7 linked regions of the Macaca mulatta genome follow. The protein of the gene in region 1 purifies or fractionates together with the protein of each later gene. This does not show direct contact. Links are inferred from orthologs where the notes say so. Each region holds a gene or a part of one and is shown in the gene's direction. Other genes may lie near its edges. The genes, in order: SIRT1, DNMT1, HIC1, ZEB1, RECQL4, BRINP1 and FOXO3.

Region 1 (4,212 bases):
TAATGCTCTCCCTCCCCTTGTCCCCCACGCTCCCAAAGATGGGTTTAAGGCTTCTAGGACTAGAGATGATCACTTTCAGAAATGAATAGTGGTGACCAGATGAAATAAGACTTTTGGATGCAGATGGGACCTTAGTGATATATTTCCAACATTCTATTTTTAATTTTTTTAATTTTAAGGATGAAGAAACAGCTTTAAGTTGATTGCCTAAAGTCACGCAAGTAATTGATGCAGTATGGCCAGAACCCACGCTCGGCTTAAGGGACAGTGTACCATAAACTCATAGAGGTCCTTTAAACAGATAGAAAGGCTGTGCTCCAGGGAGATGCCATAACAAACACCGGCTCTAGATCTACCATGGGTTATATGGGTCCTCAGTTAAGGTTAGATATGGAGTCACAGTGTCCCAGAATTTCAGGGAGAGAGGAAAGTGGAAGGGCTTTCCACTAAGCCTTTTAAACTACTAGGTACCCCTGATTTTACATCTGGTTATCTCATTTAAATCTATGACCTTTTAAAGTACTTCATTATTACAATTTAAGACATGAGAAAAATTAACTTTAGAAAAGGTTAGATAGCTCATGCTAGAAAGGAAGGACTCCAAATTTTAACCAAGAGCAGATGTCCATGGAGGCCAAGCCATTTTCTTCCCGAGCTCTCCTCATACCGACCCAACAAACCCATTCTGCACGTGAGAAAACTGAGGCCCAGAGGAGGGAATTCACACACGTTTGAAGCCAATCTGGGGCCAGAAAGTAGATCGGCTGAACTCCAAACCTCCAAGTCAAAGGTCTTCCCAGGATGTGACAATCTATACCACCCTACAAGTGATGGAGAGAGGAGAAAAAGCAACTAAGGAGAGAAGCTAGGAGCAGAAAAAGGAGCTAAAGAGGAGCTGTCAGAACGGTGTGAGGAGGGTGGGAAGGGAGCCTTCTCCTTTTGCCTCTATTCCTACCCATTAACAAAACAGAACGACTATCCAGCGTATTTCAGGGAGCTAAGTCCTTAGCCAGCTTCAGCTGTGTTTCAACCCTTAGCTAAAGCTAGACAACGCTAAGGCAGGCCAGGTGTACACTTCAGGTAGAAGTGGAAATTCCCAGGGCGGACCAAAACTTGAGCTGTTCAGGCGGTAGTGATTTGAGGTCGGTTTCAAAGAGAAGTTCAAAAAGCGGCCGAGGGGCGAATTTGGTTGCACTACACGCCCGCCACAAAGGCGCAGGGCCGCGGCCGCCGGGGCCGAGCGTGCTTCCAGCCCAGGCGGAGGGGTAGATGCAACAGCCTCCGCCCGTCACGTGACCCGTAGTGTTGTGGTCTGGCCCGCGTGGGTGGCGGGAGCGCCGAGGGGGCGGGGGCGGCGATGGGGCGGGTCACGTGACGGGGTTTAAATCTCCCGCAGCCGGAGCCGCGGGGGCGCCAGTGCCGCGCGTCGAGCGGGAGCAGAGGAGGCGAGGGAGGAGGGCCAGAGAGGCAGTTGGAAGATGGCGGACGAGGCGGCCCTCGCCCTTCAGCCCGGCGGCTCCCCCTCGGCGGCGGGGGCCGAGAGGGAGGCCGGGTCGCCCCCCGCCGGGGAGCCGCTCCGCAAGAGGCCGCGGAGAGATGGTCCTGGCCTCGAGCGGAGCCCGGGCGAGCCCGGTGGGGCAGCCCCAGAGCGTGAGGTGCCGGCGGCCGGGGGCTGCCCGGTTGCGGCGGCGGCGCTGTGGCGGGAGGCAGAGGCGGCGGCGGCGGGCGGGGAGCAAGAGGCCCAGGCGACTGCGGCGGCTGGGGAAGGAGACAATGGGCCGGGCCTGCAGGGCCCATCTCGGGAGCCACCGCTGGCCGACAGCTTCTACGACGAAGACGACGACGACGAGGGCGAGGAGGAGGAAGAGGCGGCGGCGGCGGCGATTGGGTACCGAGGTGCGCAGGGTGCGGGCGGCCGGAACTGCGCATCTCCTCCTCCCTTTCCCCGGGCTCCTACTGGTGTGAGGTTGAGGGCGGCCGGCGACTCGGGGCAGGCTCTGCGGCGTTCCCCTCCCCACCACGGCCCTTCGCTCAGCTGCGCTCCTCCGGGGCTGCCGTTCCTGCTGCGCGAGCTGCTGGTGGATTTGCTCTTTTCCTCCGTCCGTGACCCGCCTGGGCGGCCTTGCGCTTTGCGCAGCAGCCAGGTCGGGAGACTCTCGCAGTCACTTTAAAATAAGTTTCTCTCACCCTCTTACTCTTTTAGCATATTGGTTTTGTTAGAGCTTTTTTTTTTTCCTTTCCTTTTTCTTCTTTATTTTTCATTTGCTTTTCTTCACCCACCAACACACTTAAGTCTGCAACTTTTTGGCTGTCCCGTTGGTCGGCGTTTTCAATTGCTTTTTGTAAGCTGACACCTGTGCAGTTTGCTGTTTTTTTTTTGAAGGTCTATATTTTTATGCCTGAAGTTACAATTTTTAAAAGAGGAAAGCTGTTTCTGTAGTCACAGCCTGCAAAATTTAAAGAACATGGCTGTTTCTGAAGATATTAAAATTCTGTAATGCAGTTAGAAGTAGGCATGGGAGAGTGATAGTACTTTTAGAGCAGTTCATATTTTATTCTAATTTTGCTCTTGTACGGTAACGGTGTTTGGGCCAAGCGTACCTTTTTGTACGTAGTAATGATACACACGTTTAACACTTCTAGCATAATGAAGCAGATATGTTGCAATTGTCATGTTCTTCAAGGTTTTTTGTTTTTTGTTTTGTTTTGAGACAGAGTCTCTCTCTGTCGCTAGGCTGAAGTGCAGTGGCGCGATCTCGGCTCACCGCAACCTCCGCCTGTCCCGTTCAAGCTATTCTCCTGCTTCAGCCTCCCGAGTAGCTGGGACTACAGGCACCCGCCACCACGCCCAGCTAATTTTTGTATTTTTAGCAGAGACAGGATTTCACCATGTTGGCCAGGATAGTCTCGATTTCTTGACTTCGTGATTCGCCCGCATCGGCCTCCCAAAGTGCTGGGATTACCGGCGTGAGCCACCGTGCCCCGTCAGGTTTCATATTTTTGTTTCTCTCAAGGAGGAGTTTCTCTCCTTGATATGTGTTCGTCTTTATCAATACTTGGGTCAGGCCGGGCGCGGTGGCTCTTTCGTGTAACCCCAGCACTTTGGGAGGCCAAAGCGGGAGGATTTCTTGAGCCTAGGAGTTTTAGACTAGCCTGGGCAACATAGCGAGACCTCCTCTCTACTAAAAATTGAAAAACCCGGACGTGGTGTCGCACAGCTGCTGTAGTCCCAGCTACTGAGGTGGGAGGATTGCCCCCGAGTTTGAGGTTGCAGTGAGCTGTGATCGCGCCACTGCACTCCAGGATGGGCGACAGAGTGAGACCTCGTCTCAAAAAAAAAGTAGTATATGCTTTTAGGGACTGGTTTAGTAAAGAGACCCTGATTTCAAGCAACACCGTTGAATATTAATTTATTATTTATCTAATAATAATAGTGTTATTGATACTGTTTAATAGAAGAAACAATGCAGAGATACCTGTTTAGTATTATGTGAGAGTTTAACGTGCGCATTGCCAAGGTTATATTTGAATGACATTTTTGTGTAAATGCCCATTTATTACACGTTTCACTAACGCTGTTGTTTGTGATTGATACATTCTAGCTAGATTATTTTCTTTCTTTTTTTTTTTTAAAGACGGGGTTTCGCTAAGCTGTAGTACAATGGCGCGATCTCAGCTCACCTCTCAGCCCACTGCAACCTCCGCCTCCCGGGTTCAAGCCATTCTAGTGCCGCAGCCTCCTCAGTAGTTGGAATTACAGGCATGAGCCACCATGCCTGGCTACTTTTTGTATTATTGGTAGAGATGGGGGTTTCTCCATATTGGTCAGGCTGGTCTTGAACTCCCGACCTCAGGTGATCCACCTGCCCTGGCCTCCCAGAGCTCTGCAATTACAGGCATGAGTCACCGCGCCCGGCTATCTTTTTCTGTTTTTTTTTTTTTTTTTTTTTTTTTTTTTGAGACGGAGTCTCACTCTGTCGCCCAGGCTGGAGTGCAGTGGCCGAATCTCAGCTCACTCCAAGCTCCGCCTCCCAGGTTTACGCCATTCTCCTGCCTCAGCCTCCCGAGTAGCTGGGACTACAGGCGCCCGCCACCTCGCCCGGCTAGTTTTTTGTAGTTTTTAGTAGAGACGGGGTTTCACCGTGTTAGCCAGGATGGTCTCGATCTCCTGACCTCGTGATCCGCCCGTCTCGGCCTCCCAAAGTGCTGGGA
Region 2 (3,500 bases), on another chromosome or scaffold:
TGTCTCAGCCTCCCAAACTGCCGGGATTAGAGGCATGAGGCACTGCACCTGGCCAAACAGGCACATTTTTAAGTCTTCTTGTTTGTTGTTGTTGTTGTTGAGATGGGTCTTGCTCTGTCACCCAGTCTGGAGTGCAGTGGCATGGCTGTAGCTCACTACATTCTCAACCTCCTGGGCTCAAGTGATCCTCCCACCTTAGCCTCCCAAGTAGCTGGGACCACAGGTATATGCCACCATGCCCAGCTACTTAAAAAAAAAAAACATATTGTAGATGGGATTTTGCCATGTTGCCTAGGCTGGTCTTAAATGCCTGAACTTAAGCAGTCCTCCCTCCTTAGCATCCTGAATTGCTGGGACTGCAGGAATTTGTCACCACGCCTGGCGAATTTTTAATTTTTTGTAGAGATGGGGGTCTTAATATGTTGCCCAGGCTGGTCTTGAACTCTTGGACTCAAGTGATCCATCTACATATGCTTCAGCCTCCCAATATACTGGTTCAGGCATGAGCCACCATGCCTAGCCTAAAAGTCTTAATTCACTGTTTGTTTGATTGTCACTAAGGGCTTGTGATTCACCTTTTTTTTTTTTTGAGACGGAATCTTGCCCAGTCGCCCAGGCTGGAGTGCAGTGGCGTGACCTCAGCTCACTGCAAGCTCTGCCTCCTGGGTTCATGCCATTCTCCGGCCTCAGCCTCCCTAGTAGCTGGGACTACAGGCGCCCACCACCACGCCCAGCTAATTTTTTTTTGTATTTTTAGTAGAGACGGGGTTTCACCATGTTAGCCAGGATGGCCTCAATCTCCTGACCTCATGATCTGCCTACCTTGGCCTCCCAAAGTGCTGGGATTACAGGCATGAGCCACCGTGCCGGGCCACGATTCACCTTTTTTGTTTATTTTTAAAATTTTTTGAGACCTAAAAGTATTAATTCATCATTTGTCTCATTGTTACTAAGGGCTGTATGATTTCCCCTTTTTTTTTTTCTTTGAGATGGAGTTTCGGCCGGGCGCGGTAGCTCAAACCTGTAATCCCAGCACTTTGGGAGGCCGAGACAGGCGGATCACGAGGTCAGGAGATCGAGACCAACCTGGCTAACACAGTGAAACCCTGTCTCTACTAAAAAAATATGAAAAACTAGCCGGGCGAGGTGGCAGGCACCTGTAGTCCCAGCTACTCGGGAGGCTGAGGCAGGAGAATGGCGTAGACCCGGGAGGTGGAGCTTGCAGTGAGCTGAGATCCGGCCACGGCACTCCAGCCTGGGCGACAGAGCGAGACTCCGTCTCAAAAAGAAAAAAAAAAAAAGAGAGAGATGGAGTTTCACTCTTGTCCAGATTGGAATGCAGTGGTGTGATCTTGGCTCGCTGCAATCTCCACCTCCCAGGTTCAAGCAATTCTCCTGCCTCAGCCTCCCAAGTAGCTGCGATTACAGGCACACCCTACCACACCTGGCTAATCTTTGTATTTTTAGTAGAGACGGGGTTTCACCACGTTGGCCAGGCTGGTCTGGAATTCCTGACCTTAAGTGATCTGCCTGCCTTGGCCTTCTGAAATGCTGGGATTACAGGCATGAGCCACTGTGCCCGGCTCTGATTTGCGTTTTTAATACCATTTTTTAGGTGTGTCAGCAGCCTGAGTGTGGGAAATGTAAAGCCTGCAAGGACATGGTTAAATTTGGTGGCAGTGGACGGAGCAAGCAGGCTTGCCAAGAGCGGAGGTAGGTCGGGCCGAGTCCTCCTCCTGTGGCAAAGGACTTGCCAGCTGGTGGCGGATGCACTGTGGAGAAGGGCCCGCGTGTGTGGGAAAGCACCAGGATTCCTTCGTTAGGCATTGTCTCAGGGCCTGTCCCTGTTAGGACGAAAACAGCCTTGGTTGGTCTTACTTAGAAAAGGGGCCTTAGGTATAACCAGTGACATTGCAGGTGTCCCAATATGGCCATGAAGGAGGCAGATGACGATGAGGAAGTCGATGATAACATCCCAGAGATGCCGTCACCCAAAAAAATGCACCAGGGGAAGAAAAAGAAACAGAACAAGAATCGCATCTCTTGGGTTGGAGAAGCCGTCAAGGTAACCCTTGGAGCCCCTCGTTCGGCTCACTGCCATGTTCCCGATAAGCAGGTTCCCCTAGTATCTTGCCAACCTGACCTCTTGGTCAACCTGAGCCCCAGCACCAAGAAACCTGCCTGTTTGCCCCTGAGAGGAGCAGGACTGGCCGAGAGACCATGTTCTGTGGCTCAGTACCAGCAAGGCATTTTTGTATGGCCACAAGGCTCAGTTCTCCTAATGTCCCAAAATGGGCATTTGACACAGTTCTAGGGGCGTCAGGCAGGTGAGCCCTCATAGCTTGTTTTTGTGTTTTGTTTTGTTTGGGACAGAGTCTTGCTCTATCACCCAGGCTGGAGTGTGGTGACATGATCTCAGCTCGCTGCAACCTCTGCCTCCCAGGTTCAAGCAATTCTCCTACCCCAGCCTCCTGAGTAGCTGAGATTACAGGCATGCACCACCATGCCAGGCTAACTTTTTTTGTGTTTTTAGTAGAGACGGGGTTTCATCATGTTGCCCAGACCATTCTCAAACTCCTAGCCTCAAGTGATCCACCTACCTCAGCCTCCCAAAGTGCCGGGATTACAGGCGGGAGCCACCACGCCTGGCCCCTCATAGCTTGTTTTCAAGAGAGCCGTCACAGCCCCCTCTGGCGTGGGGTGGGTCTTTTGGGGGCACCAACAGATGGCCTCCCAGTTGTTCTGTGGTCATCGGCTTCACTGAGGGTCAGTTCCTTTACCACAGTGTGAGAGAAAGGAGTGAGTATCCTCTGTGTTGCTTCTCTGATGTCCATAAATTAAAGATGCAATCAGTTCACTTAAGCATGAGGCTTGCCGCCTGCTGGCTGCCTGGGCCGTGGCTGAGCCCCTGCAGGAGGACAGACATGGGTACTGTTGCATGGCATGAGTACCTCTGCAGGGTAGGGGGCTGGGAGGAGGCTGGGGCCACGAGGCCTTGCAGAGGTGACACGTGGGCTGAGATGGAGAAGGTCAGGTAGGACCTAGCCACACCAAGACCTGGGGGAGAGCTGCACTGAGGTGGCAGTCAGCTTACCTTGGTGGAGAAAGGGAAGGAGGCCCCTGCAGTTGGATTGGCTTGAGCCAGGGGGTGACAGGCAGGACAGGGGCCAGGGTTCAGGCTGTGGCCTTACAGACGATGGTGAGGTGTTGGGAGCTATGCTGTTAAAATCAAATCCTGGGACCCGAGTGGCAGAGCGGAAGTGGGAGGGACGCGAGTTCCCTTGGTTACAGCATCTGGCCGAGGAGGGTGGATGTTCTCTTCTTTTTTATTATTGAAGCCCTTGTAGAACAGGATGTTCTCTTTAGCAGCAACTCTTCATTGACTTCTTGATGAAATGGAGTCATGTCTTACATTAAGTAACAGAGAACCATGCAGGTCAAGGCCAGCAAAGACCCTCAAAATGATCCTCCCTGAACATCTGCTCTCATTTTCAGACTGA
Region 3 (4,009 bases), on another chromosome or scaffold:
CCCTGGTTGGGAGCAGGGAAATGCATGGTCCTGGCCCAGCCTGGCTCCATCGAGATGGAGGAAGGGTCTAAATGGGAGGAGAGTGTTCAGACGAGGAGCTGGACCAGGATGGGGAGGGCTGTGCATGGCATGGCCGGAAGAGCGGGGCAGGGAGAGAAGGGTCGAAGAATTAAGTCCACGGGAGGGCAAGGAGGTACTCTCACTGCCTGGGCTGGGGCAGGACTGTGAGACCCTCCTTTACAGATGCAATTAGGGCTTGAGAATGGGGGGTAGGGATAGTAAGATAACTTGGGGAGCTGAAGAATAAAGACTGTGGGTACGGCAGACCCCTGAGGCAGGTTAGCAATGCACAGACTCCACTGCACAAAGATATAAGGGACGGAGGGGCTCTTTGGAAGTGGGGGGGATCTGACTCTATCAAAAGGAGAAAAGATAAAAGAGATGGGGTCAGAGAGGCCCTGCATAGTCTGGATTTAGCCTCCTAGAGCTCCCGTTTTCTTGCCGCTAGCCTTTGTCCCACGGGTTCTATTATTCACAAATGCCTTCCTGCGCGGTGGGAGAACTCCTATTCATCCGTCAAAGCCCAGCTCTAGGAGCACTTCTGAGGAGCCTCTCCACCTCCCCTCAGCACTCCGTAACTTCCGTAACTTCCACCTCAGGCCGCCGCACATCCCTCGGCCAAGATGTCGGGGTCCGACTTCCCTAGAGACCGGCAGCTCCGGAGGCCTCCGTTTTCCTCTTTGGGACCTCACTGCTTCTAAAGTGAGGATGCTATGAGGAGACATGGGAGAGGGCGTGGGTAAGATGGATCCAGAACATGGGGCGGACTCGTTTGGACCGAAGCCTCCGCCAGGCACCGAAGCGGTGAAGTCGCCTGCGCTGCAAAGGGAGCCTCCGGGGGGCGCCCGAGACCTTGGTGTCGCTCGGGGGCCGCTGGTAGCCGCGCCCGCTGCCCCTCGCCGGGTGACTCAGCCGGTACCTCTGGCGGGGCCATGAGGGCCAGAGGACAGCGCGGGGGGCGGCGAGCACGGTTGCTAAGCTCTCCAAGGCCTCAGAGGGACGGGATTCGGGCGCACCTCATCGGTTGCCATGGTAACGCTGCGCCCCAGCCCCTCGCGCTCCGCGGCGGAGGGAGGCGCAGCCAATCAGAAGCGGCGGAGTTCTCGGGGACCCCCCCCCCCTCCACGCCGCGTGTGGGCGGGGGTCAGGAGGTGCGGGGCGGAGGCGGAGCGTGGGCCGCGGAGATCCGGCGTTCGCAGGAGGCTTGGTGCGCGGCGGGGCCGCACGGGGCCACTTCCGGAATAGTAGTGCGGGCAGCGGCGCGCCATTCGGGGTCCCCTTCCTCCCAGAAGAGACGTCACCCACACAAACCTGACCTTCACGTGGGGTGCGGGGCCTTGCGGGGTCCCAGCCGCAGGCGCCCCTGTTGTTTCCTTCGGGCGGGTGGGTTGGAGAAAAAGTTCACGTGGGATTCTTCAAAACGGCGTACATGGGGATTCTAGGGCCCCGGGGTTACTTCTGCGGACCCCCGGAGGCGCTGTCCAGCCATTTCCAGTCGCCCTGATGACTCGTCGTGGGTTCCTTTAGGAGACCCGAAAGTTGAGGGCGGGCTGTGTGGGTAACACCTCTGCCCAGGTTCCCGGAGGGCACCAGGTGGCTGCCCCTGGAGTATCCCAGAGCGCCAGGGCCGCGGGAAGGGGCGGGTGTGCGTCTGGAAACGTGCGCGCCTGCTAGTACCAGTGCCTGGAGAGGGCTGGGGACAAACCGGTTTATGCCGCGCACACCCAATCCATGCGCCTGAGTGAGGGTGGGTGTGTTGGGGAGTGCGTCCAAGTGGACAGTGCTGTGTACAGTAATGTCTACGGAGAGTTCCAGGAGAGCCTGGCTACTCCTGCCCAGGATAACCTCTCCTCCACCACCCGAGTCCGGTGTTTGCGGGCAGGACTTTTCCGAACTGGGGCTGTGAGCCTAGAAATACGTACACGGGAGCGCTCAGCTCAAAGCCCCAGGGTTTCCGGGGCTCGCTTGTGCGGGGTCGGGGTCCCTGGTGGGCACAGGTGGGAGGGCGAACCTGCGGATGGGGTGGGCCCGGGCCCCTCCCCGCCGGCTCAGCATCTGTGCGCCTCCAGCTCAGGTGCGCGGGAGGAAGGCAGCGGCCTGCCCCGCAGAGCCCCGCGCGCCCGCGAGGTGGCGCTATAGCTGCAGCAGCGCCCGCCGGCCCGGGCCGCTCCAGATAAGAGTGTGCGGAAAGCGCGGCGGGGCTGAGACGCGACCAGGACGCGGGGAGGACGGACCAGCAGGACAGACCGACCGGGGGCCCGGCGGGCGGAGGGCAGCGCAGCCACATCCCCCCTGGATCCGCCGGCAGCCGGGCCCGGGGCTTTCGACATGCCCCCCAGGTGGGTCCTCGAGCCGGGGACCGGGAGGGACGGGGGCCCGAGACAGCCCGGTCCTCGTGCGTCGGCCGCCTCGGGCGCATCCTCTGGCGCGGGTGCCCCATCGCGGCTGGCGGCTGGCGTTCAGGGCTCCGGGTGTCGTCCCTGTCGGACTCGGGACCGCCGGGCCGCGGCTCCGCGCCGGGTTCACGGCGGGGTCAGCGGCCCGGGGCCGGCTGTGCCCGCACATGGGCTGGAGAGGCGAGGGGAAGGGAAGGGAAGGGGAGCTGGCGGGCGGGGCTGGCAGGGGCGCTGCCCTGGCACAGCTCGGGGCCTGGCAGCGGCGGGTGGGGCATCGGCTAAGAGCTGCCACCGCCGCGGGGAGGGGAGCCCGGCCCTCCGGGGCCGCAGGTAACGGGCCGCGGGGCCCCGCGGGCCAGGAGAGGAACGGGGTCGGGCGGGCGAGCAGCGGGCAGGGGAGCTCAGGGCTCCGCTCCGGGCTCTGCCGCCGGATTTGGGGGCCGCGAGGAAGAGCTGCGAGCCGAGGGCCTGGGGCCGGCGCACTCCTCCCGCCCTGTCTGCAGTTGGAAAACTTTTCCCCAAGTTTGGGGCGGCGGAGTTCCGGGGGAGAAGGGGCCGGGGGAGCCGCGGAGGGAGGCGCCGGGCCCGCGCGTGTAGGGCCCAGGCCGAGGCCGGGACGCGGGTGGGGCGCAGGCCCGGGTCAGGGCCGCAGCCGGCTGTGCGCCGTGCCCGCCCGGGGCGCTGCCCCCTCCCTCCCCTGGGAGCTGCGTGGCTCCCCCCTCCCCCCCACCTGCTTCCTGCCTCAGCCTCCTGCCCCGATATAACGCCCTCCCCGCGCCGGGCCCGGCCTTCGCGCTCTGCCCGCCACGGCAGCCGCTGCCTCCGCTCCCCGCGCGGCCGCCGCCCGGGCCCCGACCAAGGGTTGACAGCCCCCGGCCAGGGCGGCGCCAGGGCGGGCACCGCGCTCCCCTCCTCCGAATCACTTCCCCCAACTGGGGCAACTTCTCCCGAGGCGGGAGGCGCTGGTTCCTCGGCTCCCTTTCTCCCTACTTGGGCAAACTTTTCCGCCCTGAATGACTTTTCCTGAAGCGGACATTTTACTTAAATCGGGTAACTGTCTCCCAAAGGGTCACTTCGCCTGAACAGTCTTCTCGGAAGCCCCAGCACCCAGCCAGGTGCCCTGGGGCATGCAGGCCGGCCTGGCCTCCCCTCCACCGGCGGTCGCTCACCTCCCGCTCCTTCTCCTGGTCCGGGCGGGCCGGCCTGGGCTCCCACTCCAGAGGGCGGCCGGTCCTTCGCCGGTGCCCAGGCCGCAGGGCTGATGCCCCCGCTCAGCTGAGGAAGGGGAACTGGAGGGGGAGAAGTGCCGGGCAGGGGGCAGGCGGCCAGGGCGCCGCACGGCTCTCACCCGGCCGGTGTGTGTCCCCGCAGGAGAGTGTGCTGGGCAGACGATGCTGGACACGATGGAGGCGCCCGGCCACTCCAGGCAGCTGCTGCTGCAGCTCAACAACCAGCGCACCAAGGGCTTCTTGTGCGACGTGATCATCGTGGTGCAGAACGCCCTCTTCCGCGCGCACAAGAACGTGCTGGCGGCCAGCAGCGCCTACCTCAAG
Region 4 (4,087 bases), about 49 Mb from region 1:
ACATTGTTAATTTATAACTATATTATTTGGCATACAGCTCATTTATTCCATAAAGTTGGTCCCAAAGACGTTTCCTTATTCGAAGGAGGTGGGAAGCAGGAAGGAAACCTAAATCTAAATTCTACTGAACACTGAAGACAACTTTCTTGATATTTGTGGTTATCTGCGTGGTCTTTTCAGAAATCCCCAAACTTGTACCAAGTCAAGGATAAAATAAGATAAAATCAGCAATCTGTCAGGTTCAGAGATCACATCTGTCAGCCGATGCTTCTTGCCTTAAGGTCCTGCACAGCGATGACCGCTCATTTAGGAAGGAATTCATGGCCTGTGGATACAGGCTTAGCTCTGAGTCCTGCCGCCTAGGATCCCAGGGATCTACGCGAGGAGGAGGGCGGGGAGGGCGGACCGGGTGGGGGAGGCCGAGGTGACAGCAGGTGAGGGCCGGGTGCCGATGGGGAAGTGAGACAAGCACCGTGTGGGTATTACTCATTCCGCTCTACTAACGAGGCTGCTGGCAAGCGGAACTTCTAGCCTCTCTTTCAGTCCAGCTGAAGTTCAATCTCATTGAAGTCACTTCCCATCCTGGTTCGCTTGGGGGGAAACCGGGCGTCCCTGGAAGGGAAGGGAAGGGAGTCCGGGCTGCGCGGGTCAGGTAGCCTCTCTCCGGGCGCCGCATGTCCTCGCCGTCCCCGAAACTGCCCTTCCCCTCTTCAAGGGAACTCCCCGGGGAGTCCAGACCGCGATCCCTTTCCTTGGCCCCGGGGTGCGCGGGGCTGACACGCGAGGCGTGGGACTGATGGTAGCCCTGCCTCCAGGAAGCAGGCAGGCGGGGACCTCTGGGCGCTCGGAGGGGCAGCTCCGAGGGCACAGGGTCCAGAGAGAATCAGCCAGATCTCTCCCTGCCCAGGGCAGCCGCGGCGGGTGTGGCCAGCGCGGAGGCAGGACGCCGCCGAGCCTCCAACTTTACCTTTCCAACTCCGACAGCCCGTCGCCTTTCTGACCACGTCCCCACGGTTTCCCAACACCCGCCTCCCTCACCCCACCACACCTGAGGAAAACTTTTCCCTCGCCCCTCAATTCAAATTCACCAGTGCCCACGGTTGCCGCAAACCGCCCAGTCCCTAGCAACAAGGTTCCGGCCGTAGAGCGAGCGCCTCTAGGTGTAAGGAAGGTGATGTCGTAAAGCCGGGAGTGTCGTAAACCAGGTGCGGTGGGGAGGGGGGAGGGGTGGAGGCGGAGGGGTGGGGGGGAAGGGGGAGGGAGGGGGAGGAGGTGACTCGAGCATTTAGACACAAGCGAGAGGATCATGGCGGATGGCCCCAGGTGTAAGCGCAGAAAGCAGGCGAACCCGCGGCGCAATAACGGTGAGTGGCGGAGGGGACCGGGGAGCAGCGGAGTCAGGGGGAGCCGGGCAGCCGGGGCGCCCCCGGGGGTGAGAGGGGCGAGCCGGGCTGGGGGCGGCCGGGGCAGGGACGGCAAAGTGGAGTGGGAAAGTAGAAAGTAGTGCTCTCTGCCCCCCTCCGCTGCCGTCGCTGCCGGAGCCGCGCCGCGGCCGCTCGCTCTCCCTGAACCGTTATGTCTCTTACCTGGTCTCTCTCCGCCTAGCGGCTCCAGCCGCCCCTGCCGCCTCCCTGGACCGTTAGCCGCCGCCGGCGCCGCCGCATCCCCGGCGCAGGGCGGGCGGCCGGGACGCGCTGGCCACTTTTCTGGTCCCGGGTGGAGCGGCTGTTGCTTCTTTCGGCACTTTTCCCCACTCTTGTACCCTTCGGCGCCTCCCTCTGCACTTCCTCCCGGCCCCCTCGGCGGGATTCTCCCTCAGCGCCCAAGCACCCGGGAGCCGCAGAACAAACTTGTGCCCGGCGCTGACCGTGCAAAGTGGCTTCCGCGCGCCGCGGCCCCGGCTGGCGCCGTCGTTCGGGCCCCGCGACTCGGGCCGGGCTGTGGGCGCGCGGCGGGCGGGCGGCGGCGGGACGGGACGACCGCGGGTTGCGTGGGGTCCGTGCGCGCGTGTGCGCGGGCGCCGGCGGTGCGCGCCGCGGGCGGACAGGGCTTGGCCGGCGGCGGTAAAGTTGGGACCCGCGGGCCGGGCGCGCTCGCGGAACGGGGATTAGAGGCGGGGGCGCGGGTGCCTAAGCGCCCCTCCTTTCCGGCGCCTCCCGCCGCCGGGCCCAGAGCCCCGGCCTGGGGACTCCGCTACGAGCCCCGCGATTGGGGTCCACGTTTGGCGGGGCGCGGCGGGGAGGCGCGGGGACAGGGCAGGAAAGGCACCTACTTAACGCCACCGGGAGCCGCGCGGATGGAGGCGAGCTGGGCGGCGGGTGTGTTTGCGGAGTTGTTACCTGGGCTTAGAGACCGGGAAGCACCACAGACAGATCCCCCTCCCGGGGCAGACGCGGTCTCTGCGCCGGGATGGGCCGGTGTGCGTGCGCCTCTCGCTTTTCTCTTTCGCTTTTTGGGGAAGTTGTTACCTGGGCCGGACGCACGGAGCGCTGAAGCCGGATAATGGGGCTTGGATGGCGCTCTGGGTCTCGGGTGGAAGGAGGGTGGGGGGAGGGGGCGGACGGACCGACGGACGCGCGGGGCTGCTACTCGCGCCGCAGCTGCAGTGTTTATTGATTTGTGCTGCTGTGCCAGGGGAAACACACACCCCTCTGCCTGGCGTGAGAGTTAAAAAAAAGAGAGAGAGAGAGAGACACACAGCCCGAGGGATCGAGACCTGAACATGTGGTGGTGGTTGCACAGTCGCCTTTTCCAGTTTGGAGAGTTGTAAGTTGATTGTATTTCTGGTTATCTCGGGGCGATGCTGTGCTTTCTCTCCCTCTCGTGCAGCAGGGAAATGTCTGCTGATTGTTATTGTCTGGACAGTTCCTGTGGCGAGAGGGGCGAGACTTGTCCGCCCGGGGGCGGCGGGAGCGCGGGGAGAGCAGCCCCCGCCAGCGCCGCCCGGGTACCTGTTTGTATAATAATGGGCGGCAACGGCCCTGCCGCCGGCCGCAGCCCAGGCTATATAAGGAATTACACGTACATTTCGGACCGAGGGGCTCGCTTTGGTTCCTGCGTTATTTTTAAAACGACTTTTAAGAGAGGGGCAATAAATGCGTCTATAAGGGGACCGCTGCAGCGTCGAGAAAACGAGGAAATACGTATTTAGGAGAAAACTCTCTCTTGCTCCCCCGCCCCACCCCCCGCGCCTGGGCTCCCTTTCTCCCTCCCCTCTGGGATGCGAAACGCGAGGTTTTGTAACCTTTCCTGGCAATTTTAGATTTTGTGTGGGATTTCCTGTCTAGAAGCAGATACGAAGATTTTTAAGCTGTTTCAAGATGTTTCCTTTCAATCCATAAATATGTTTTTAATATATTCGAGTCGACATTAAAATCACTGCTTTCATGAGTGATTTTAATTATTCAAATAAACACTTGCATTTTAAAGACGTATATTGATTATAATCGAAAGGTATTTTGGTATCCTCATTGTGGAGAGATGACTTGTTATAGCAAGGAGTGGAGCATAGGCTATTGCAATTTTAATTTCCTGTTTTAGCGTCAAATAGTGTGTGTTCTATATTGAGCTGTTGCCGCTGTTGCTGATGTGGCTTTATGAAAGGTAAGTTGGTTCGGAAAGAGCTGTTCGCTTTTTACCTTATTTAAAATGTTGATCGCCAGAGAAAGGGGCTTTTCTTGTTGCTGACGACATGTGTGTGACATGTGAGTCTGAACCACCCAGCGTCTGTGCAGCTGCTGTAAACATGTTTACCTGAACAGGAAAGAATGGATTTTTCTCCTTAAGATCCTGTGATATGAATATTACACTTGTAAGGCATATCAACAGATGACTTAAGGGGGGAAAAGCGATCCTGAAAGGTACTTGAAATCAAGAAGAAAAAGAGGTTCTTGATCGCTGCAGCAAATGGCAACTTGTGCAGGTAGAAAAAAGATGGTGTTTAGTTTTCTCCTGCATGTATGTCAGCCCCCTCCTGTCTGCTGCTTTCATTCTCAAGGGAGGGATTTATTTACCATGCTTGATGTCAGTGTTTTTCCTTTGTGTTTAATATTAGAAAAACAGATTTGCGTCTGTTTAGCACAAAACG
Region 5 (4,236 bases), on another chromosome or scaffold:
CTTGCAGGGCCCCCCATGGGTACTTCAGGCCTCCCAAATTACAAAGCTGCTTCACAAAACCTTCTTCGAAACCTGAATAAAGTCCAGGCCTCTCCCCACCAACCTTCATCAGCATTAACGTTGACGGGACACTCCAAGGAGTCAAGCAGCCAAATCACGTTTCCCTCCCCTCTCCTCACAGAGGCTCTCCAGGGCTACCCTGGGACTCCACAAAACAACAAAGAGCTGGAAGCACAGATGCAGCTTCATAAGCAACAGGGCAGGTTGAAAAGACCGAGACCTAGGGAATACTGAGTCCAGATGATGTAGCCTATGAAATCCAAGCCTTCAATATAAGCCCCCCCCAAAAAAACTATTCTCCAGAGTGTCACCAAGCACGAAGACCCCTGAAAGAAAGCAACCTTCACCTTTGGTGGCTCTTACCAGTGGCCTAAAACCTCTCCCTCTTCCCTGGAGAGCCACTGTGGAAAGAACAAGTCTTAAGTATGTGGGATTCGGAAGGTGCAAGGCTACAGATTGCTCAGACAAGGCAAAGAAAGCTGCCTAAGCAGCACTCAAGCTGCAGAGATGCGCGCGAACACTCCCAAGGCCACAAGGTACCTGTGACACAGGGTGCCAGCCCTGCTGCTGACTGCAGCATCCTCAAAACTAAATCGCAGCCATCTCCCTGTGACAGATTAGAAAATGAAGGCCTAGGCCTGGCCCAAGGTCACAGCCTGAGTGACAAGTCAGGGAAGGGGTCTAGGGAGGACACTCTGGCCCCAGGGCCCTTGTTTTTGCACATACAAATAAGTCCTTAAAGAACCGCTTCCTGAAAAGTCCCAGACACCAACCCTCGGTCTCATTCTGAGATCTCAACGGTCATACCTCGCTCTGACAGGACAGACCAACCGAGCACCTGTCACGGGAGTACACGAAAGCAGACGGCCTGGCCACCAAGGGAGGCAGGCACCTCCGTGCGAGGCCCCCGCCCCTCCCGCCGGCCACGGGGAACGCGTCGGCCCTCGGCTGCCTGCGTTTCGAAAAGACGCCCCCGCCCGGCTCCTCTGGGCCTCCAGTCGCGGGAGGCGCTGGTCCCTCCGCTCTTTCTTGTCCCGGGCGGGGCCTGCTCCTCCAAGCCAGGTGCGTCTCCCACCAGGGCCTGACGCCGCTCCGACCGGCCGGGGGACTCCCAGTCCTTCCCGGCCCGCTATGGCACCGCCCGGGCTCCCGGCTTCGGCCCCGGGCTCCCAAATGCAGCTACTGCCTCCCTCAGCCGGGCCGCCCCGAGCGACCGCTGCCACGCCCCTTGCGGCCAGGCAGGGCCAGGGACGTACGCCGCCCCACTCCGACCCCCGCCTGGCCGCCCGCGCTCACCGGTCCCGCAGCCGCAGCCACCGCCTCCGGCCCCGCCTAGACCGTCCGCCGCGCCCCGCACGGCGCCGCGGCGCCCCGCGATGACGTCGGCGCCCCCCATTGGTTGCTTGTCCAGGGCCCGGCGGATTGGCTGCCTAGTCGCGGTGGCCCCGCCCCCGGCCCGCCGCGCGCCCGCATTGGCTGTTGGCCCCATCGTCTGCGGCGCGGGAGATTCGCTGGGCGGCCGCTGGACTGCTCGGAGACCTGGCGGGCCCGCCATGGAGCGGCTGCGGGATGTGCGCGAGCGGCTGCAAGCGTGGGAACGCGCGTTCCGGCGGGAGCGCGGGCGGCGGCCGAGCCAGGTACGGGATGCCCTGGGGCCGAGGGGCTGAGGGCGCGGCCCGCGGCTGACGCGTTCCCTTTACAGGATGACGTGGAGGCGGCGCCGCAGGAGACCCGCGGTGAGCGCGCGGCGGGGTGGCGGGGTCCCGGGTCGACGGAGGCGGGAGGACGCCAGGTCGGCGGGGGCCCAGGCTCCACCCTGACCCCGCCTCCCGCCCGCCCACGCAGCGCTCTACCGGGAGTATCGTACTCTCAAGCGGACCGTGGGCCAGGCCGGCGGCGGGCCCCGCAGCTCCGAGTTGCTCCCCGTGGCCGTCGAAGAGGTATCCAGGCCCCGCCACCCCAGCCTCCTCCCACTTTCCTGTTTGGCGGAGTGGCAGGAGCCACGGAGTCGCGGCCAGGCCTCCGTGGGGCACAGAACTTGGGAGGGGGACTGAGCAAAGTGAAGACGGGCCGGGCCTCGCTCCAGGTGTGAGGGGGTGGGTGGGAGCGCCTCTGCTTCCACACCAGCCTTTTTCTGGCCTGCGCCCCTACTGTCTCCTGCAGGCACCAGAGTCCCACTGCTGGGGGCCCCACCTGAATCGGGCTGCAACCCACAGTCCACAACATACGCCAGGGCGGAGCTGCCAGGGGTCGGTGCCGGACTACGGGCAGCGGCTCAAGGCCAACCTGAAAGGCACCCTGCAGGTGAGGAGTTAGCAAGCAGTGAGTCCACACTAGGTCCAGAGGTGCTTCTGGCCCGGGGTTCTTTCTTGTCACTCTTTCCACACAGACAGGCACAGGCTCCTGTGCCAACCAGGGCACGAGTCTCCACGGAGTTTCTCGGGGCCTTCGCCCTTGACTCCCTTTCTAGGCCAGCCTTGTGCTAATTAACCTGTCTTACCATTGAAGGTGGGAACTCAGGCAGGTTTCAGAGTCTACAGAAGCCCAGGGGCCTGAGTTTCTGCTGCCATTCTGTTCCCTTCCCAGGCCGGACCAGCCCTAGGCCGCAGACCCTGGCCTCTAGGAAGATCCTCATCCAAGACGCCCACCCCAAATCCCCCAGGCACAAGGCCTGTCCCCACCTTTGCAGAAAAAGTCAGTGATGAGCCTCCACAGCCCCCTGGGCCCCAGCCAAGGCCGGGCCAGCTGCAGCACCTGCAGGCATGCCTGAGCCAGCAGCTGGCCTCCCTAGATCTTGACTGGTTACAGCGATGTCACAGTGAGATCCCAGACTTTCTGGGGGCCCCCAAAGCCTGCAGGCCTGGCCTAGGCTCAGAGGAATCACAGCTTCTGATCCCGGGTGAGTCAGCTGTCCTTGGTCCTGGTGCTGGCTCCCCAGACCCAGAGGCTTCAGCCCTCCAAGAAGTCAGCATCCGTGCAGGGAGCCCCCAGCCCAGCAGCAGTCGAGGCAAGAAGCAGAGACGGAACAAGGAGCTCTGGGGGAGCCCCGCACAGGTCCAGCAGCAGAGCAGCCAGGCTGGACCCCCATCGGAGGGGGCTGGGGCTGTCGCACTTGAGGAAGACCCTCCAGGGGAACCTGTACAGGCACAGCCACCTCAGCCCTGCAGCAGTTTGTCGACCCCCAGGTACCACAGATTCAGCACCTCCAGTCAAGCTAGGGCGGGTAAGGCTGAGGGCACAGCCCATCTGCACATCTCTAGGCTGGCCCGCCATGACAGGGGCAATTACGTACGGCTCAACATGAAACAGAAACGCTACGTGCAGGGCCGGGCACTCCGTGGCAGGCTCCTCCGCAAGCAGGTGAGACGGCGATGGACTGGGACAGGCCCTCCCTTTCCCTCCCCTCAGCACCCCTGCATGTCCCACCCAGTGACCCTCCTATGTGGGCACCCTTCAGGCATGGAAGCAGAAGTGGCGGAAGAAAGGGGAGTGTTTTGGGGGTGGTGGTGCCACAGTCACGATCAAGGAGTCTTGTTTCCTGAATGAACAGTTTGATCACTGGGCACCCCAGTGTCCTCAGCCAGGTGAGACATCTGCCCTGGAGGGTGGGTCTGGCCACCACTGTGGAGAGGGCACGGTACTCTTTTGGGCGACACTTCTGTTCCAAGCAAAAGACCTTCCAGGTGCCCCTGGTCCAGGCCCTACCCTGGCTCCCCCAAAGCAGGGTGGCAAGGATGAGGATGGGTGTCAACCTTTTATGCTTTAGAAGAAGTAGCACAGAAGAAGGGCACTGCCTGCTGCCAACCCCTTTGGGGAAAGAGAAGGTTGTGGCCAATGGTTGTTTTGCTTGGAGCTCCCATTCCACCTTCTCTTGCCTGCCCCAGTAAGTGAGGAAGACACAGACCCTGCTGGCCCTGAGCCGCTGGTTCCTGCACCACAACCTGTGCCTGGGGTGCCCGGCCTGGCCTCCACCATGCTGCCACTCTACTCCTTGGGGCCCTCAGGGCAGCTGGCAGGTAAGCAGTCAGCTGCTGGCCCAGAGCCTTTACCGAGGGGTTGGTGTGACTTAAGTCATGGTGGTCAACACCTGTGTCTGCAGAGACGCCGGCTGAGGTGTTCCAGGCCCTGGAGCAGCTGGGACACCAAGCCTTCCGTCCTGGGCAGGAGCGTGCAGTC
Region 6 (3,500 bases), on another chromosome or scaffold:
TCTGTTTTTTTTTTTTTTTTTTTGGTTTGTTATTGTCTTTTGGAGATGGAGACTTACTCTGTCACCCAGGCTGGAGTGCAATGGTGTGATGTTGGCTCATGGCAACCTCCACCTCCCAGATTCAAGCAATTCTCCTGCCTCAGCCTCCCGAGTAGCTGGGACTACAGGTGCGCGCCACCACGCCCAGCTAATTTTTGTATTTTTAGTAGAGACTGGGTTTCATCATGTGGCCAGGATGGTCTCGATCTCTTGACCTTGTGATCCGCCCACCTTGGCTTCCTAAAGAGCTGGGATTACAGTCGTGAGCTACCACAGCTGGCCTGGGTCTATTTAAGACCAGCCACTAACCTAGATGGAGAAGTTTTGCCCATTCACTGTTCTCCCCACCATAGGTATCTTTAGGAAAATAAAATGGTAAGTTTAACTCTCTCTCAATAATAAATATGTTATTATTTTGTATATAAAAATAAATTATTTGTAAAACAAAACAAAAAATACAAAACCTAATTATTCCCCATTTACTAAATATTACTGTACCCTAAGTTTGAAACACTTCAAAAATATAATCTCTTTACCCTATTTTGATGACTAATAGCATTACTAACATTTTATAGAAGGGGAAGTTGAGGCTTAGAAAGAGAAAGTTACTGATCCAAGGTTTCACAGCTGGAAAAGGGCAGAGAAGGTGCGTGTGGCTGCCTCCCAAGTCATTATTCCCTACAACGGATGCTGTGTTTTTATAGCTGGATGCAAACTTCAAAACAACCCTAAATAATGGGAAGCAAAGACTAAATAAATGAAGAGGCTTCTTTTCATACTAAGCCATTCTTATTTCAAGGTTATCTTTTTGAATAGCTGTTGCTCTCTTATCCACCACCTCAAGTCTTTCTAAGACAGTGTTTTGGAAATGCACATCCACAGGATTGGGTCATTTTCTCCTGTGGCAGCACAATGCTTCTGCTAAATCTTCTTTAGGAAAATGGGCATCATTTTCTTATTCTTGCCTAATAATAATATATATGTACTCATTACAACTTACGGAGCCGTTTGGTAATAAGGTACCCATTATGGAACACATGCCATGTGCCAGGCATTTAGACCCATCGTACCTGGTCTCACAACCTCTCTGGAAGAGATTTACTAGCTTTGGTTTGCAGATACTTAGAGAGGTTAATTGGTTCCCCTAGGTCCCAGGGTAAGTAAATGGCCTAGCCAGGATTTAACACTAATTTTTCTGATTCCAAAGTCAATGCTTTTGAAATATAGTGCGTCAACTTTTAAGTTCATGTCATACTTGCAGCCACCGTGTGAAGTGAGAACCAGTGGTAGGAATAGGCATGCACTCTGTATGCTTGACCACCCTGCTAGCCTGTCTACTCAGTGACAGCCGTGGTTGGTCCCAGACACAAGCACGGAGCTCAGAAAGTGACTATGGACTCAAACCAGGAGGCCTTTTCTGCTGACTCTGCTCTGCTGGGGCATGACTCTTCGGGGCATGTCCTAGACAAGGACTCCTGTCTCACACCTGTCTCATTTGATGTCTACTGCAGGTCACAGAGACACGCACTGGGCCTCTGGGCTGTAACAGCTATGACAATCTGGACTCTGTGAGTTCCGTCCTTCTGCAAAGCACGGAGAGCAAACTGCACCTTCAAGGTAGGAAGCCAGTGGAAAAAGTGGGTTCAGTGTTGGGGGAAGCAGCATGGATGTGGTATGTGGGAGAGGGGATCAGGAGGGATGGTGTGAAGGGAGAACAAAGAAGAGGAAGCATGGAAAATCTAATGAAAACTGCAGATATGGAAATTAGACAGTTATGATAGGTGTGTACATATATATTTAGAATTTTATCATATGCAGGACATTAAATTCATGATTATTAATTAGTTTTCAGATAGAAAGTAAGGAAATGTGAGCTTTAATTAACTTGTTTGTATTTATAAATATCTGTATTTCTTTGGTGTCTGCATATGTCAAGTTTATGTTTGGGGCTCCATATACATTATTTTAAAGAAAATATATCCTTTAAAATAGTAATTTCATCCTTATTAATTCACATCATAAAAAGGAGAGGAGATTGCTGGGAAGAGTTGGACAAGGCTTTAAGTACACATAGCACTGTTTTTAAAAAGCATAATGTATTATATCAAAAAAAGTAAGGATTTCAATTTTTCACATGAGAAGTCTAAGTGAATTATATTGCATTAATACAACATAATATTAAACTGGTACTGATGTTTATAAAGAATTTCCAATAATATGTAAAAATAACTTGATATAATGTTAATAAATAAAAGGTTTCTGATGGAATGGATGGCATGATCTTAATAATTTAAAGAGGTAAATAAAAATAGGCTGGGTGCAATGGCTTACGCCTGTAATCCCAGCACTTTGGGAGGCCGAGGTGGGTGGATCACGAGGTCAGGAGTTTAAGACCAGCCTGGCCAATATGGTGAACCCCAGTCTCTACAAAATTTATTAAATATTTAGTAATGCAAAATTACAAAATACAAAAATTAGCTGGGTGTGGTGGTGTGCGCCTGTAGTCCCAACTACTCAGGAGGCTGAGGCAGGAAAGTCGTTTGAACCTGGGAGGCAGAGACTGCAGTGAACCGAGATCCCGCCGTTGCCAGTCCAGCCTAGGTGACAGAGCAAGACTCTGTCTCAATAATAATAATAATAATAATAATAATAATAATAATGGCTGGGCGCGGTGGCTCACACCTGTAATCCCAGCACTTTGGGAGGCCCAGGTGGGCAGATCACGAGGTCAGGAGATTGAGACCATCCTGGCTAACACGGTGAAACCCCGTCTCTACTAAAAATACAAAAAATTAGCCGGGCATGGTGGCGGGCGCCTGTAGTCCCAGCTACTTGGGAGACTGAGACAGGAGAATGGCATGAATCTGGGAGGTGGAGCTTGCAGTGAGCCAAGATCGTGCCACTGCACTCCAGCCTGGGCAGCAGAACAAGACTCCACCTCATAATAATAATAATAATAATAAAGCAAGGAAATATGCCCAGGTATTAGAATAGCTTATCTCTGGATCTCTAGGTTGCTGATGATGTATTTTAGGCATCTAGTTTCTTTTCTAACTTCTCTACAATGATCACATATTAACTTTATAATCTGAAAAAAAAATGACATACTTTAACTTTGAGCAGACTAAAAATGTGACCTTTTAGAAAGGTATATGATAAAGGTGATTCTGAATGTCAGTGGGAGGAAGTTGGGTTGAGATTGGCAGGTAAAGCTAAGAAGAGCCTAATGTGACTTTTATATTCTGGTTCCTTGGCAACTCTTTGATTCATGCTCCTGTTACAGAAGGTGGTTAGAAAGCATCTCCTGTTTTCTAACATGCATGGAGGGCTTGGTAGTGTCACTTGAGGGCAGTGAATGAAAATTCCTCAGGGAAATTCGGGCCAAGAAAGTGGTTTACTATTAAATAACAAAACACAACACACTAGAAACTTAAATACATGGAGCATAACCCTACCCTGTT
Region 7 (4,248 bases), on another chromosome or scaffold:
GCTGTCTTCTCGCGTCCCCCCTTGAGCCCTCCCACCGCCAGCGGGCGAAGGATTGGTTTCTAGTGCGCCCTTTCCCTTTTTCCCTCTCCTCTCTCTCCTTCCTTAGAATTTTACTCGATTGTTTATTATTTGCTGGGGGGCGGGGGCGGGGGGCGGAGAGGGGCGTCTGGGGCCTGGAGACTGGTAGCCGCGGCCAGTAAGCACGCGGCGTGCCTTGACGAGTAAGCCGCGCAGCGAATGGCGACGCGGCGGAGAGCTCCGGGGTCACGCGCGTGTGGAGACGATGACATCATCTGTTTGTACGCGTCGAACTAGCTTGGTGCAGGGGCGGGGCCGCGCGTCACTTGAGTGACGGGAGCTGCGCAAAGCCCGGAGCCCGGAGGCGGCGGGGCGGGCTGGCTCCTGTGTACGCTGGGCTGGACCTTTTTGTATATGGGGTCGTTGAGGAGCCCGCTTCTAGACTCTGAGCTATCTCTGGTGACTTACAAGGATTTTTTAAAAAAAGATATTTATGAACTAGTGTCTAGACTTTTGGTGTGCATGTCGCGTGTAGTGCATTCGTAGAGTACAAATAAACGATTTGGGGCACGGATCGTAGAAAAAGGACTTGTGCAGATGTTTTTTGTTTAACCTAAAGGATACGTATTTTTTTTTAAAGTCAAAAATGCACACGTAGCGGTTTTGTCGTCATTTACAAATTAGATTAAAATTATTTCTCCTTCTCAATTGTTCGGAATCTGCTCTTGAATGTAGGACAGGGGTAAATTTGCATTTCTTCGGAGTTAGTTACACCTCTCCCCCGTTTGCCATGAAACACATGAAAAGTGAAACACGACTGTGGTCCACCGTCCGAGGCGAGAGATTCAGTGCAAACCTTTTGGTGCCTGATCGAATCTGTGAGCATCAGCTTATCGAAGTTGTGCAGGCGCCAACATCTTCGCCATTCAGTATTTCCACGCCGCGGTAAACCTTGCCATCCACGCCCAGCATCTCACCTCGGGTGTTACCTAGTGTCGGGTTCTAACAGGGAACCGGACACCTGGGCTGGCCCAGAGCCCGGCGGGCGGACGCGCAGGTCGGGGACCCTGGTACCAGGCGCCCTGCCCGGAGTCGGGGAGGCCACGCCGCTGCGCTCCTTGGAGCGTCGGAGGCTGTCGCTCCTGCAGCTCCCGCTTCTCTTTCCTCTCCCTCCTCTCCCGGGCCAACGCCGCGCTTTGTTGTCGTTGGGGCTCTCGGGAGGGAGGAGGAGCCCAGCGGGGACAGCAGCGGGAGCCCGCCGAATCCCGGCTCACGGCGCGCTCCCGGACACCCACGCCCGCAGCCCCGCGGAGCTGGCCCGCGCAGGCGCGCGCGAGCTCACACACGCGCACTCACACACACACGCCCGCCGCGCGCCCAGCCCGCCGCCCAGCCCTCCCCCTGGGCGGGGACCCGCCCGCCCGCCCGCCGTCAGCTTAGGTTGAGGCGCCCTGCGTGTGTCTATAACTTTGTGCTGCTGCTGCGGCCGCCCTGCTCGTGGAAGGGAGGAGGAGGAATGTGGAAGGCGGCGGCGCGCGAGCTGACAGGCGGTTCCTCGGGCGGGCTGCGGCGACGGCCCGAGCGCTCCTCCTTCGCCGAGGTTGCGCGCCCCCTCCTCGCCGTGCCCCGGGCCCGCGCGGGATCGTGCGTCGTCCCGCCGCGTCCCTGAAGGGAAGGAAGCGAGGTAGGCGCCGGAGCCGTGCAGCGGGCGGCCGCCTTCCCGGTGACTCCGGATCTGCTTCCGAGCTGGGCCGGGCGCTTCCCTTTCCCCTCCCCGAGCCGCGGTGTGCGCGCCCCCCTTCTCGCCCGCTAGTGTTTTTAAAGGACTCAAGGGAAGGGGGAAACTGTCAAGATGGCAGCAGCGGGAGCAAGGAGGTGATGAACATGCTGGTCCGGGTTTTCTAGCAGCCCGGGAGACTTGGCGCTTCCCGACCTGTTGGAAGATTTATGTTCCGACTCGCTCCCTCCCCCGGATCCCGACTGGGAAGGGGGCGGAGGGGACGACGTCCGCGAGAATGCAAACCACACAAAATCCCGAAGTGGCCGTCCCTGCCGGGCTCGACCCTCTGCGAACGCCCGCCGGGCTGCTCCTTCCCCTTCTTTCCGTGTTTCCTTTATTTTTTGGAAGTGACAAGGGCCCATCTGCGCCCAGACCCCCGTTCGCCCTCCGCCCCGCGGACGAAGAGAGGAGAGGGAGCTGCCCGCGCAGTCCCCGGGCTCGGGCCATTCGACCGGGTTAGGGGTGACGGGGGGTCGCGGAGGCAGCTGGGCCGGGAAAGGGGAGAAGAGCCGAAGACAGCACAGACTTGAGCGGCGGCGCCGCGGAAGGCACTAGAGCGGGCCCGAGCGAAACATAAACAAACGCACGCACGCCCGAGCTCGGGCTCTGACCGCCGCTCGGCTGCGCCAGCTCCGGCCGCTGCCCGCTTTAAAGGCGCGGCCGCCCCTCCCCCGGGCGCCCCTCCCCCTTCTCCCCGCCCCGCCGCCTAGCCCGGGAGGGACCTGCGGCGGGCCGCGGGGGGAGGGGGCTGCCCCGCGCGAGGCCGTCGATTCGCTCGCGGCTCCCCCGCGGCCTGGCCAGGGGGCGGTGTCTGCTGCGCCAGGTTCGCTGGCCGCACGTCTCCAGGTCCGCCTGTTCCTGGGAGGCGGGCGCGGCAAGGCTGGGAGGTAGTGGCGGCGGGCGAGGACTCGCCGAGGACTGCGCTCCGGCCCGGGATAACCAACTCTCCTTCTCTCTCCTCTGGTGCTTCCCCAGGCGGCGGCGGCGGCGCCCGGGAGCCGGAGCCTTCGCGGCGCCCACGTCCCTCCCCCGCCGCACCCCGCCCCGGCGCGAGAGGAGAGCGCGAGAGCCCCAGCCGCGGGCGGGCGGCGAAGATGGCAGAGGCACCGGCCTCCCCGGCCCCGCTCTCTCCGCTGGAAGTGGAGCTGGACCCGGAGTTCGAGCCCCAGAGCCGTCCGCGCTCCTGTACGTGGCCCCTGCAAAGGCCGGAGCTCCAAGCGAGCCCTGCTAAGCCCTCGGGGGAGACGGCCGCCGACTCCATGATCCCCGAGGAGGACGACGATGAAGACGACGAGGACGGCGGGGGACGGGCCGGCTCGGCCATGGCGATCGGCGGCGGCGGGAGCGGCACGCTGGGCTCCGGGCTGCTCCTTGAGGACTCGGCCCGGGTGCTGGCACCCGGAGGGCAAGACCCCGGGTCTGGGCCAGCCACCGCGGCGGGCGCTCTGAGCGGGGGTACACAGGCGCTGCTGCAGCCTCAGCAGCCGCTGCCACCGCCGCAGCCGGGGGCGGCTGGGGGCTCCGGGCAGCCGAGGAAATGCTCGTCGCGGCGGAACGCCTGGGGAAACCTGTCCTACGCGGACCTGATCACCCGCGCCATCGAAAGCTCCCCGGACAAACGGCTCACTCTGTCCCAGATCTACGAGTGGATGGTGCGTTGCGTGCCCTACTTCAAGGATAAGGGCGACAGCAACAGCTCTGCCGGCTGGAAGGTGCGTACCCACCCCGGGCTGGCGGCAGGACCCGCCGGGCCTCCTGCGCAGCGCGAGACGCGCCCTCGGATTCGTCGGAGCGCGCCTGCGGGCTCCAGGGCAAGGGGTTGGCAGGGGGAGCCTTCACTGTGAGGCTTTGGGTGTTCTCTTTGACTCCTGTAGCAGGGGCACCTGGGGACGGCCCGGAGGGGGGAAGGAGGCTCCCAGAGGCCTAGGGCATGGCCAGGTGAGGAGAGGGGGCAGGGGACGCCGGCGAGGGAAGGGCGAACGGACTGGAGTACATTTGCTGGATTCTCAGGACAGCGCCGAGAAGGTAGGTCTGCAGCCAACTTTGGAGTAGAGTTTACCGTAGTGGGGGTCTGATGCGGGCGCTGTAGGTGGAGTGAGAGGTGTGTGTGGGGGGGTGTTTGGGACGCAGTGTCCAGAGGAGGGGTTGGATGTGTGGTTTCCAGTCTGTCGCAGGAGCATGTTGTGTCGTCACTAGCTGAATCTTCGGGTCCAAGTTTCAGCTTGTGGGTGTTAACTCCTACAGGCACATCAATCCCATTAGAAAAAGTAGTGGTTGCAAACCTCTTCCTGGACGGCTTCCTTTCCTTGCCTGTATTGATACCTTTCCTTCTCAGAGATGTCGCTCCAGTAAATCTGCTTCTTACTAGCTGCTTCTGAAATGTTCTGGGGCCTCGAACCGGCCGATCTGGCCACCTCAATCCAGACTGGCTGCACCATCTGCTCCCGCCG

The links.
Region 2: the proteins of SIRT1 (region 1) and DNMT1 purify together in Homo sapiens (affinity purification with western blotting; 3 studies listed by BioGRID and IntAct, with this or other methods). This does not show direct contact. The link is inferred for Macaca mulatta from reciprocal best matches to the Homo sapiens genes SIRT1 and DNMT1.
Region 3: the proteins of SIRT1 (region 1) and HIC1 purify together in Homo sapiens (affinity purification with western blotting; 4 studies listed by BioGRID and IntAct, with this or other methods). This does not show direct contact. The link is inferred for Macaca mulatta from reciprocal best matches to the Homo sapiens genes SIRT1 and HIC1.
Region 4: the proteins of SIRT1 (region 1) and ZEB1 purify together in Homo sapiens (affinity purification with western blotting; 4 studies listed by BioGRID, with this or other methods). This does not show direct contact. The link is inferred for Macaca mulatta from reciprocal best matches to the Homo sapiens genes SIRT1 and ZEB1.
Region 5: the proteins of SIRT1 (region 1) and RECQL4 purify together in Homo sapiens (affinity purification with mass spectrometry; 3 studies listed by BioGRID). This does not show direct contact. The link is inferred for Macaca mulatta from reciprocal best matches to the Homo sapiens genes SIRT1 and RECQL4.
Region 6: the proteins of SIRT1 (region 1) and BRINP1 purify together in Homo sapiens (affinity purification with western blotting; 6 studies listed by BioGRID and IntAct, with this or other methods). This does not show direct contact. The link is inferred for Macaca mulatta from reciprocal best matches to the Homo sapiens genes SIRT1 and BRINP1.
Region 7: the proteins of SIRT1 (region 1) and FOXO3 purify together in Homo sapiens (affinity purification with western blotting; 4 studies listed by BioGRID and IntAct, with this or other methods). This does not show direct contact. The link is inferred for Macaca mulatta from reciprocal best matches to the Homo sapiens genes SIRT1 and FOXO3.

The regions. Positions count from the first base shown.
Region 1 is NC_133414.1:81,881,658-81,885,869, reverse strand, and holds the start of SIRT1 (NAD-dependent protein deacetylase sirtuin-1), read left to right. Parts: upstream 1-1,412; 5' UTR 1,413-1,478; coding exon 1,479-1,896; intron 1,897-4,212. UniProt on the Homo sapiens protein: NAD-dependent protein deacetylase that links transcriptional regulation directly to intracellular energetics and participates in the coordination of several separated cellular functions such as cell cycle, response to DNA damage, metabolism, apoptosis and autophagy.
Region 2 is NC_133424.1:10,861,736-10,865,235, reverse strand, and holds part of DNMT1 (DNA (cytosine-5)-methyltransferase 1), read left to right. Parts: intron 1-1,615; coding exon 1,616-1,713; intron 1,714-1,917; coding exon 1,918-2,065; intron 2,066-3,495; coding exon 3,496-3,500. UniProt on the Homo sapiens protein: Methylates CpG residues. Preferentially methylates hemimethylated DNA. Associates with DNA replication sites in S phase maintaining the methylation pattern in the newly synthesized strand, that is essential for epigenetic inheritance.
Region 3 is NC_133421.1:3,604,560-3,608,568, forward strand, and holds the start of HIC1 (hypermethylated in cancer 1 protein), read left to right. Parts: upstream 1-1,209; 5' UTR 1,210-2,077; coding exon 2,078-2,399; intron 2,400-3,231; exon of another isoform or gene 3,232-3,469; coding exon of another isoform or gene 3,470-3,506; intron 3,507-3,827; coding exon 3,828-4,009. UniProt on the Homo sapiens protein: Transcriptional repressor. Recognizes and binds to the consensus sequence '5-[CG]NG[CG]GGGCA[CA]CC-3'. May act as a tumor suppressor. Involved in development of head, face, limbs and ventral body wall.
Region 4 is NC_133414.1:32,703,297-32,707,383, forward strand, and holds the start of ZEB1 (zinc finger E-box-binding homeobox 1), read left to right. Parts: upstream 1-1,287; 5' UTR 1,288-1,306; coding exon 1,307-1,364; intron 1,365-3,267; exon of another isoform or gene 3,268-3,596; coding exon of another isoform or gene 3,597-3,603; intron 3,604-4,087. UniProt on the Homo sapiens protein: Acts as a transcriptional repressor. Inhibits interleukin-2 (IL-2) gene expression. Enhances or represses the promoter activity of the ATP1A1 gene depending on the quantity of cDNA and on the cell type.
Region 5 is NC_133413.1:154,940,644-154,944,879, reverse strand, and holds the start of RECQL4 (ATP-dependent DNA helicase Q4), read left to right. Parts: upstream 1-1,436; coding exon 1,437-1,697; intron 1,698-1,762; coding exon 1,763-1,796; intron 1,797-1,905; coding exon 1,906-2,000; intron 2,001-2,223; coding exon 2,224-2,364; coding exon of another isoform or gene 2,365-2,371; intron 2,372-2,646; coding exon 2,647-3,420; intron 3,421-3,517; coding exon 3,518-3,644; intron 3,645-3,944; coding exon 3,945-4,076; intron 4,077-4,159; coding exon 4,160-4,236. UniProt on the Homo sapiens protein: An ATP-dependent DNA helicase which unwinds dsDNA with a 3'-overhang in a 3'-5' direction. Does not unwind more than 18 bp of dsDNA. May modulate chromosome segregation. The N-terminal domain (residues 1-54) binds DNA Y-shaped DNA better than ss- or dsDNA.
Region 6 is NC_133420.1:38,972,841-38,976,340, forward strand, and holds part of BRINP1 (BMP/retinoic acid-inducible neural-specific protein 1 precursor), read left to right. Parts: intron 1-1,550; coding exon 1,551-1,656; intron 1,657-3,500. UniProt on the Homo sapiens protein: Plays a role in neurogenesis and brain development. May suppress cell cycle progression in postmitotic neurons by inhibiting G1/S transition.
Region 7 is NC_133409.1:13,664,448-13,668,695, forward strand, and holds the start of FOXO3 (forkhead box protein O3), read left to right. Parts: upstream 1-1,448; 5' UTR 1,449-1,702; intron 1,703-2,773; 5' UTR 2,774-2,892; coding exon 2,893-3,510; intron 3,511-4,248. UniProt on the Homo sapiens protein: Transcriptional activator that recognizes and binds to the DNA sequence 5'-[AG]TAAA[TC]A-3' and regulates different processes, such as apoptosis and autophagy.